Danio rerio: one gene and its partner. The protein of the gene in region 1 purifies or fractionates together with the protein of each later gene. This does not show direct contact. Links are inferred from orthologs where the notes say so. Each region holds a gene or a part of one and is shown in the gene's direction. Other genes may lie near its edges.

What was found.
Region 2: the proteins of lig3 (region 1) and aptx purify together in Homo sapiens (affinity purification with mass spectrometry; 3 studies listed by BioGRID and IntAct, with this or other methods). This does not show direct contact. The link is inferred for Danio rerio from reciprocal best matches to the Homo sapiens genes LIG3 and APTX.

Annotation. Positions count from the first base shown.
Region 1 is NC_133180.1:66,752,213-66,755,780, forward strand, and holds part of lig3 (DNA ligase 3), read left to right. Parts: intron 1-963; coding exon 964-1,087; intron 1,088-1,180; coding exon 1,181-1,323; intron 1,324-1,416; coding exon 1,417-1,491; intron 1,492-1,758; coding exon 1,759-1,905; intron 1,906-3,122; coding exon 3,123-3,273; intron 3,274-3,386; coding exon 3,387-3,484; intron 3,485-3,568. UniProt on the Homo sapiens protein: Isoform 3 functions as a heterodimer with DNA-repair protein XRCC1 in the nucleus and can correct defective DNA strand-break repair and sister chromatid exchange following treatment with ionizing radiation and alkylating agents.
Region 2 is NC_133176.1:55,999,138-56,003,138, reverse strand, and holds the start of aptx (aprataxin), read left to right. Parts: upstream 1-1,198; 5' UTR 1,199-1,265; intron 1,266-1,335; exon of another isoform or gene 1,336-1,359; 5' UTR 1,360-1,362; coding exon 1,363-1,492; intron 1,493-1,568; coding exon 1,569-1,615; intron 1,616-1,897; coding exon 1,898-1,951; intron 1,952-2,753; exon of another isoform or gene 2,754-3,006; coding exon of another isoform or gene 3,007-3,061; coding exon 3,062-3,259; intron 3,260-4,001. UniProt on the Homo sapiens protein: DNA-binding protein involved in single-strand DNA break repair, double-strand DNA break repair and base excision repair.

The DNA of each region.
Region 1 (3,568 bases):
TAATAAATGTTCTTTTTGAACCCCTTGAGGAGAACCACCCCATGACCCCGTTTTGTGTATATTACCACTACTGTAAGAAAATATCAGCATTCGGTACATACTTTCAGTATTACCTTTGCTTAAAATTACCCAATCTAATCCTGTTTATATAAAATAAGCCTGCTCCTGAGCAGGTTTGAGCTACCAGAACTGTTGCTCTGACAACAACTCTCAGATGAGTTTTTAAGAACGAAACGATCCTGGATTGTGTCATCGTCAGTAACCAAATCCATAAGTGAGTAATTCATGTACGAACAACGGACCCCAGGTCCAATACGTAGTGGCCATTGTAACACCCACTAAGGTAACACCCACACTACTGTGACAGTTGGTATTGGGGGAGGTGTAGACCAGGGGTGGCCAACCCTGTTCCTGGAGAGCCACGTTCCTGCAGATTTCAGTTGCAACCCATATCAAACACACCTGCCTGTAATTATCCTGTGGTGTTCAGGTCCTAATTAATTGGTTCAGGTGTGTTTGATATGGGTAGCAACTGAAATCTGCAGGAAGGTGACTCTCCAGGAACAGGGTTGGCCACCTCTGGTGTAGACGATTGTCCAGGACGTCATCAAGTTGTGGGCTGCAGCGAGGACTGTCTCAATTTACATGCATAAACTACATTTGAAAAACATAATATTTTGTCATACTGAAAAATTGATGTTAAGTTGAGCACATTGCATTTTGTGAGCAGTAGTCAACAGTAGTCTGTTGTGTATTGCACATTTTGAAAGTACTAAAATGTCATAGAAAAAGTGCATACTTCACACAGTAAATCTACTGTAAAAACAGTTAATGAGGTGATAAGCCAGTCCAGTGGCTGGTCAAAATAATCTATGTATTGTGAATTGCTTTCAGAAACAAAAGTGCTGTATGTTTGTGCTTGTTGAATAGTTCATGCTACATCTGGGCTTTCTTTTGTTTTAGGGCCTTTATGAACCAGGAAAACGCCACTGGCTGAAGGTGAAGAAAGACTATCTGAATGAAGGAGCGATGGCGGACACTGCTGATCTTGTGGTGCTTGGAGCCTTCTATGGCAAAGGCTCAAATGGTCAGCATCAGCCATCAAGTCCATTTTCAGTCCAGATTTGTATTTATCTATTTATTTTTTGATGGGCTGGGCATTATTATGTTTCTTTTTCAGGTGGAATTATGTCCAGTTTCCTCATGGGCTGCTATGACCCGGAATCCAGGAAGTGGTGCACCGTTACCAAGTGTTCAGGAGGCTTCGACGACGCCATGTTAGACAGACTGCAGAAAGATTTGGACGTGATTAAAATTGGCAAGGTAAATCTCATCATTTAATCAGTCGTTTTCCTCTTTTGAGATGTGTAAAAGTTGCATGTTGTAAGTTTCCTGTTTATCTCGTCATCGTCGCAGGATCCAAGCAAGATCCCAGGATGGTTGAAGATTGTCAAGAACTATTACCCAGATTTCATTATCCGAGATCCACAAGTAAGACTGAGAAAATCCTCCTCCTAATAAGACCAAAGGGATGCGTAATGTTTATGTGCTTGTAATGTGAAGTGAGTTTGATGAGACTGTGTTAAAAGCCTGGTTACAGTTGAGTGTGAGATCGAAAGACGGCAATGAAGGATCTTTATTGGCTTGTTATCTTTTTAAGCCAGATGAATGTGTTAAATAGGCCATACAACTCTTAAGTGTTATGAGTGGTGTTTGCTATTGTTAGGATGAATATATCTTGTGGTTCGATACCTACAGAAAGCACCAGTGTGGGAAATCACAGGAGCAGAGTTTTCTAAATCTGAAATGCACACTGCTGATGGCATATCCATCCGATTCCCACGATGCACCCGAATGCGTGATGACAAGGACTGGAAGACGGCAACTAACCTTCAGCAGCTCAAGGTACTTTTAATTATCAAATTATATTTCCTTAGACAAATGTATAGATATGGAATTTTTATTAAAATTATTTAAAATTGTATTTTTTATTGTATATGCAGTGCTTAGCATATTTGAGTACACCCCATTTTGAGAATGAAAATTTTAGCCATTTCTCAGTGAATATGGGTAATATATTGATGCATTTGAACAAAACAGATTTATTAAACAGATATATATATTAAAGTAATATTTTACTCTCAGAGCATCTTTAGAAATGAAAAGATAATGCAATTAAATTCATGCAAATGTTAATGTTGCAAAAAAAAAAAATTGTTTAAATTGTCGGGCTGTGCAATTAATCCGAATTCAGTTTCGATTCAATTTTGTCTTCTAACGATTATGAAAAAGATTAACCTTTATTTATGTAATAAACAAATGAGTTGAGAATCAAAAGACATGTAAAAGTGAAACTTTCCACGTGCCATTTATTTATTTTCTTCAACATAAGTTCCATATTAGGCCTAAGGGCACAGGTATGGCTATAATAATAATGAGCCAAATACAGTAGCTTACCTTGTCATCACTGGGGTTGACAGGCATTTTGCTGATAAACTTTCTAAAATCCGGCAATAAATACAGCTTAGCATAAATCTGCAGATGTTTTTTTTACAAAATTCAGCAGAAATGGCAAAAAATGTCTGCAGATTCTGTCTGGCCCTACTTATAATTTAAAACGTCCATAATGACGCTCTAAACGGGGTGGGGTAACAACTTCTTTATACACCTTAAGTACACTTAAATTGTCAAAACTCTTCTTTTGGATGTGATTTATTTTCATCGATCTTTTATTTATTGTTTATTTTTTATATTTAACATTTTTGAGATGTTTTTTAATATATTATTTGAAGTATGTCCTATTAGATTTTGCTAATACTGAAGAAAGTCTTGCTTTAAATGGAATAATAATAATAATATTAAGAGCCCCTTAAGAAATTATTTATTCCTTTTGTTAGATTAATTATTACAGAGCAAACCACTGTTGTCCAATGAATTGCTTGAACTAACTTATTTAACGCAATAAACCTAGTAAATAAACTGAATACTATTATCCTGTATAATATTGTGTGCTTTGTTTAAAGTGACTTGTTCTTCCTCTATTCATTTGAGTGTTTTGTATTTAGGAAACATTGAAATGTAAGAACTCTTAGACTTTTTCTTTTTTTTTCTTTTCTTTTCAGGAGCTATATCGCATCTCAAAGGAGAATTGTGATTTTGAGGTGACCGCTGGTCCATCCAAAGCGAACCAAAATGACAAGAGCTCCTCAGGAGGTGAGAGCGGAGGAAGCTCTCCATCTGCATCTCGCGGAGCATCCACAGCTAACAAACCCAGTGAGCAACAAGAGCTTATAAGGAACAGATTTTGTTTGGTCTGTAGCAACTTCAGCATCATAAGAGTACCATTAATGTTCTTTAATTGTTCTTTAATTGTTCTAACTGTTTAGAAAATGGTCATACCCCCAAAGCAAAGGCTGCGAAAACAGAATCATCTGCTCCGGCAGTTAAGAGGAAACTACCAGCTGAGAAACAAGATGTTAAGAAGGTTTGTGATCTGATAACACGTATGTGTACACCATATGTGTAGCATTAAAAAGTTTGGGGGTCGCTAAGATGGTTTTACACTTAT
Region 2 (4,001 bases), on another chromosome or scaffold:
TATATATATATATATATATATATATATATATATATATATATATATATAATAATAAAATTGTATTATTTATTAAAACAATATAAAATGGATTCACTAACTGTCTAGGGATGTTGTTGTGTAATTTGCTACAATAAAATATCATTTTTTAATAAAAATAAAATAAAAAGTGGTCGGCTATTTTTTTTATCAATTTATTATTTATTAGGAACATAATAACTTGTGGTGAACTAAACGATGGTGCAGTGGGTAGCATGTTCGCCTCACAGCAAGAAGGTTGCTGGTTCAGTCTCGCCTGAATCAGTTGGCATTTCTGTGGAGTTTGCTTGTTCTCCCCCTGTTCGTGTGGGGTATCTTGACAGTCCAAAGACATGTGGTACAGGTGACCTGGATATGCTAAATCTGATCATAGTGTATGTGTGTGAATGAGTGTGTATGGATGTTTCCCAGAGATGGGTAGTAACCATGGGTAGTACCGCTGAGTAAAACATATGCTGGATAAGTTGGCGGTTCATTCCGCTGTGGCGACCCCTGATTATGAAAGAGAATAAGCCGAAAAGAAAATGAATGAGTGAATAATTACTTGCCTTAAAATAAAAACAAAATCCAAATAAATCAACAGTAGGAGCGTTTAAACTGTCTGCATTAAGTAACACTATTCTATACTCTATAAAATTAAACTCCATAAAGTGATGTTATATTATTTTTAAAGTGTAGTTACAGGAAATCTGTCCACAAACTCCACTAAATCTGACGTGTATACATCTACATCTGCTAGATACCTCATACTACATTCCTATATATTATTAAGACACTGTCACTTTATAATACTCATCATATGTACAAGCCTTTTATACTATATACTTTGCATTATAGTGTACTTTTTCCTCTTTATACTGTTTTGCATCTGCACAACTCTGGTTTGCTCTCCTTGCCTTGTGCCCTTAAGTGTAATTGTATCGTGTACAATTTTAATTTTTACTTATATTTTTAGATTATATTATATGTGTAATTGTATTTATTTTAATATCTTTTTTAAAATTCTACTTTTTGAATTAACATCATCTTTTTTGTATTAACATTATCTGTTAGGCACCTAGGTAAGATTAGTTCACGTCATCTTTCAGCCAGTAGTTGGCAGCAAGCGCGCATGACGTGCTGTTTGTTGACACCAACGAACAAGAGCGAGCGAGCGAGCGTCATGTGTTGCACTTTTATGTTTACGACTACCACACTTTTTTCTACCGTAGCTTTATTACACTAACACAGTAAGTAACGAACATAAGTGGGTTTTAGAAAAGCACCGTAGACTATATGTATACGCAATAGCATTATAACGTGTAATATGGTGTGTGTTTTCAGGAGATGCCTGTGTGTTTACTAGTAAGTGAAGATAATTCACACAAACCCATTGAGCTCCATCACCAACAGTCTGTGACTCTGGGTCGAGGACCAGACACTAAGATAAAAGACAAGAAGTGCTCTAGAGAACAAGGTATTTTTGCATATAAAAAGCAAATAAAAAAACGGCCTCTTTATTTTAGAAATACAACGTCTTTTCTTTTTTGCAGTTGAATTGAGAGCTGATTGCAACAGGGGATTTGTCACTGTTAAACAGGTCTGCTGGAGAATTATAATATCAAAGCAAATATTAATACAATATATACTGAGCTGAAATATATGTCAAATAATGCAAATTAGTTTTCAATACCACAAAAAAAAGTTTATTTCTTGGTGTAAAGTTGGTTTTATATTTTGACTTTCTCCTTTAATAATAAATTAAAATACTTGTTACTCACCAAAATGGATTTGAACCAGATATTTTATTATAACAGCCTTTTAGAAGTTAATTTATAAAACGTAATAACGTTTGAACCTGTTTATTTGATGTTTTTAATAGCTGGGTGTGAATCCGACACTTGTGGATGATGTGGTTGTGGGCAAAGGCAATCAGGTACAGTGTTTTTAAAATATTCTGAAAAAGTATTTAATATACGGACTAGGGCTGCACGATTCTGGCAAAAATGTGAATCACAATTTTTAAAATTTTTTTTTGCTTAAAATCAAGATCACGATTTTCTCACGATTCTGTAAATGTAAAATAAAGGTTAATAAGTTTAGCCTATTATTAAACATATGGTAAAACAACAACAACAATTATAGACCCATGTGTAGCTCTACTGTTGCTTAAAATGCAAAATTTTGTATAGTCATTATCCTAGACTTGAGCAGACTTCCAATATGTCCTGTTTGTTAATTCACAGTAACAGCATGACTTTATATTCTATACTGTACATTATTTCTGTTAAGTGACAAGACTGTTGTCTAAGCAAAGTCAGACCTTACTGTCCTAATGAAATCATTAAAAATCAAGGCATGATCATATTTTATTTTGGTAAAATAATCATAATTTAGAGTCATTTGCCTTTCATACAAACCAATTGTGATACTAAATGATCAACTATAAGTCAAATTATTACTTAACTTGGATACAAGACAAGATTTTTTTGAGGTAGTGTGTGTGTGTGTGTGTGTGTGTGTGTGTGTGTGTGTGTGTATATATATATATATATATATATATATATATATATATATATGTATGTGTGTGTGTGTGTGTGTGTGTGTATAGATATATTTATATGTATTTATGTATGTATATCTATGTATGTATGTACATATATATATATATATTTATATATATATATATATATATATATATAAATATAATGGTATAATATATGTAATTTTAATACAAGTTTTATTAAGTTAACACAAGGCAAAGTAAAAATGAAAATTGTACATTATTATTATAAACATCAGACACATAAACAGTAGTATTTGCTTCGATAAAATATTCTATGAACACATTTACAACATCTAAAATGCCAAGTATTTTTTATTTTTTTTTTAATATCTGATAAGATGCAATTATTATTTTATTCAGCTTCTAGCAAACCAGCTGTGTCGATAATTGTCCGGTTGTCTTGTAATTGAGGCTGTATTGCACAGGTCTCTGGTCTGCTTAACATCACACAAACCAAATGTCGCCCACCTCTGCAAGCAGGTGAGCATAAAGCCGGGTCAGAGACTCTACATGGTCAATCAGCAGTATCCTTACAGTGTGAAGTTCACGGAGGACACGTCCAGATCCAAACCCTCCAAAAGAGCCCAGCAGATCCAGAGCCCTACAAAAACAACAGCAGATGTGTCAGACAGCCCACCTCCACCCAAAAAAACAACACCACCTGCTGGTGAAAAATCGGTGAGTTTCTTTTAGATGTATAGGTTGGGAAGTTTCAGTATTTATGCAATAGGAGTATACAGTGCTCGGCATAAATGAGTTTGCAAAATGAATATTTTTATCAATTTCTCAGTGAATATATGTCATATTTTGGTGCATTTGACCAAAACAGATTTATTAAACAGATATATGTATTGAAATAATATTTTAGTCACTGAACATCTGTAGTAATAGAAAGATAAAACATGCAAAAACAATTACAAACTACAAAAATTTCAACAAAATTGTATATATTTATTTGTTTATTTTGTATATAATATTATTTTAGATTTATTTTTTCAATGTGTATGTAATATTTTCCCCTAGTATATACATTTGTTTTTTTTTTGGAGTGTTATCATAAGTTATTTTGTTAGATAAGCTCCAGATTTCGGTACTGAATAATCTATAATATAATATTGTAAAGCTTCCTAGAGAAAATATGAATTCAAAAGAGAGATCTGTGAGATATTTTACTCATATATGCTCTATTATAATGGTTGCACTTAAAGTTTTCATTAAGTAATGTATTTACCAACATGATCTAATAATGAACAATAATTGTGCATCATTTATTAATCACAGATTTACTAGATTATTATTAAAATGCAAATTCATTCTTGTTAGGATTAGTTAATGTACTGAGTGAACTATGAAAAACTGTATTTCTATCAACTAAAATGTAACAAAGATCAATAATACTGTTATAAATGTGCTGTTTGTT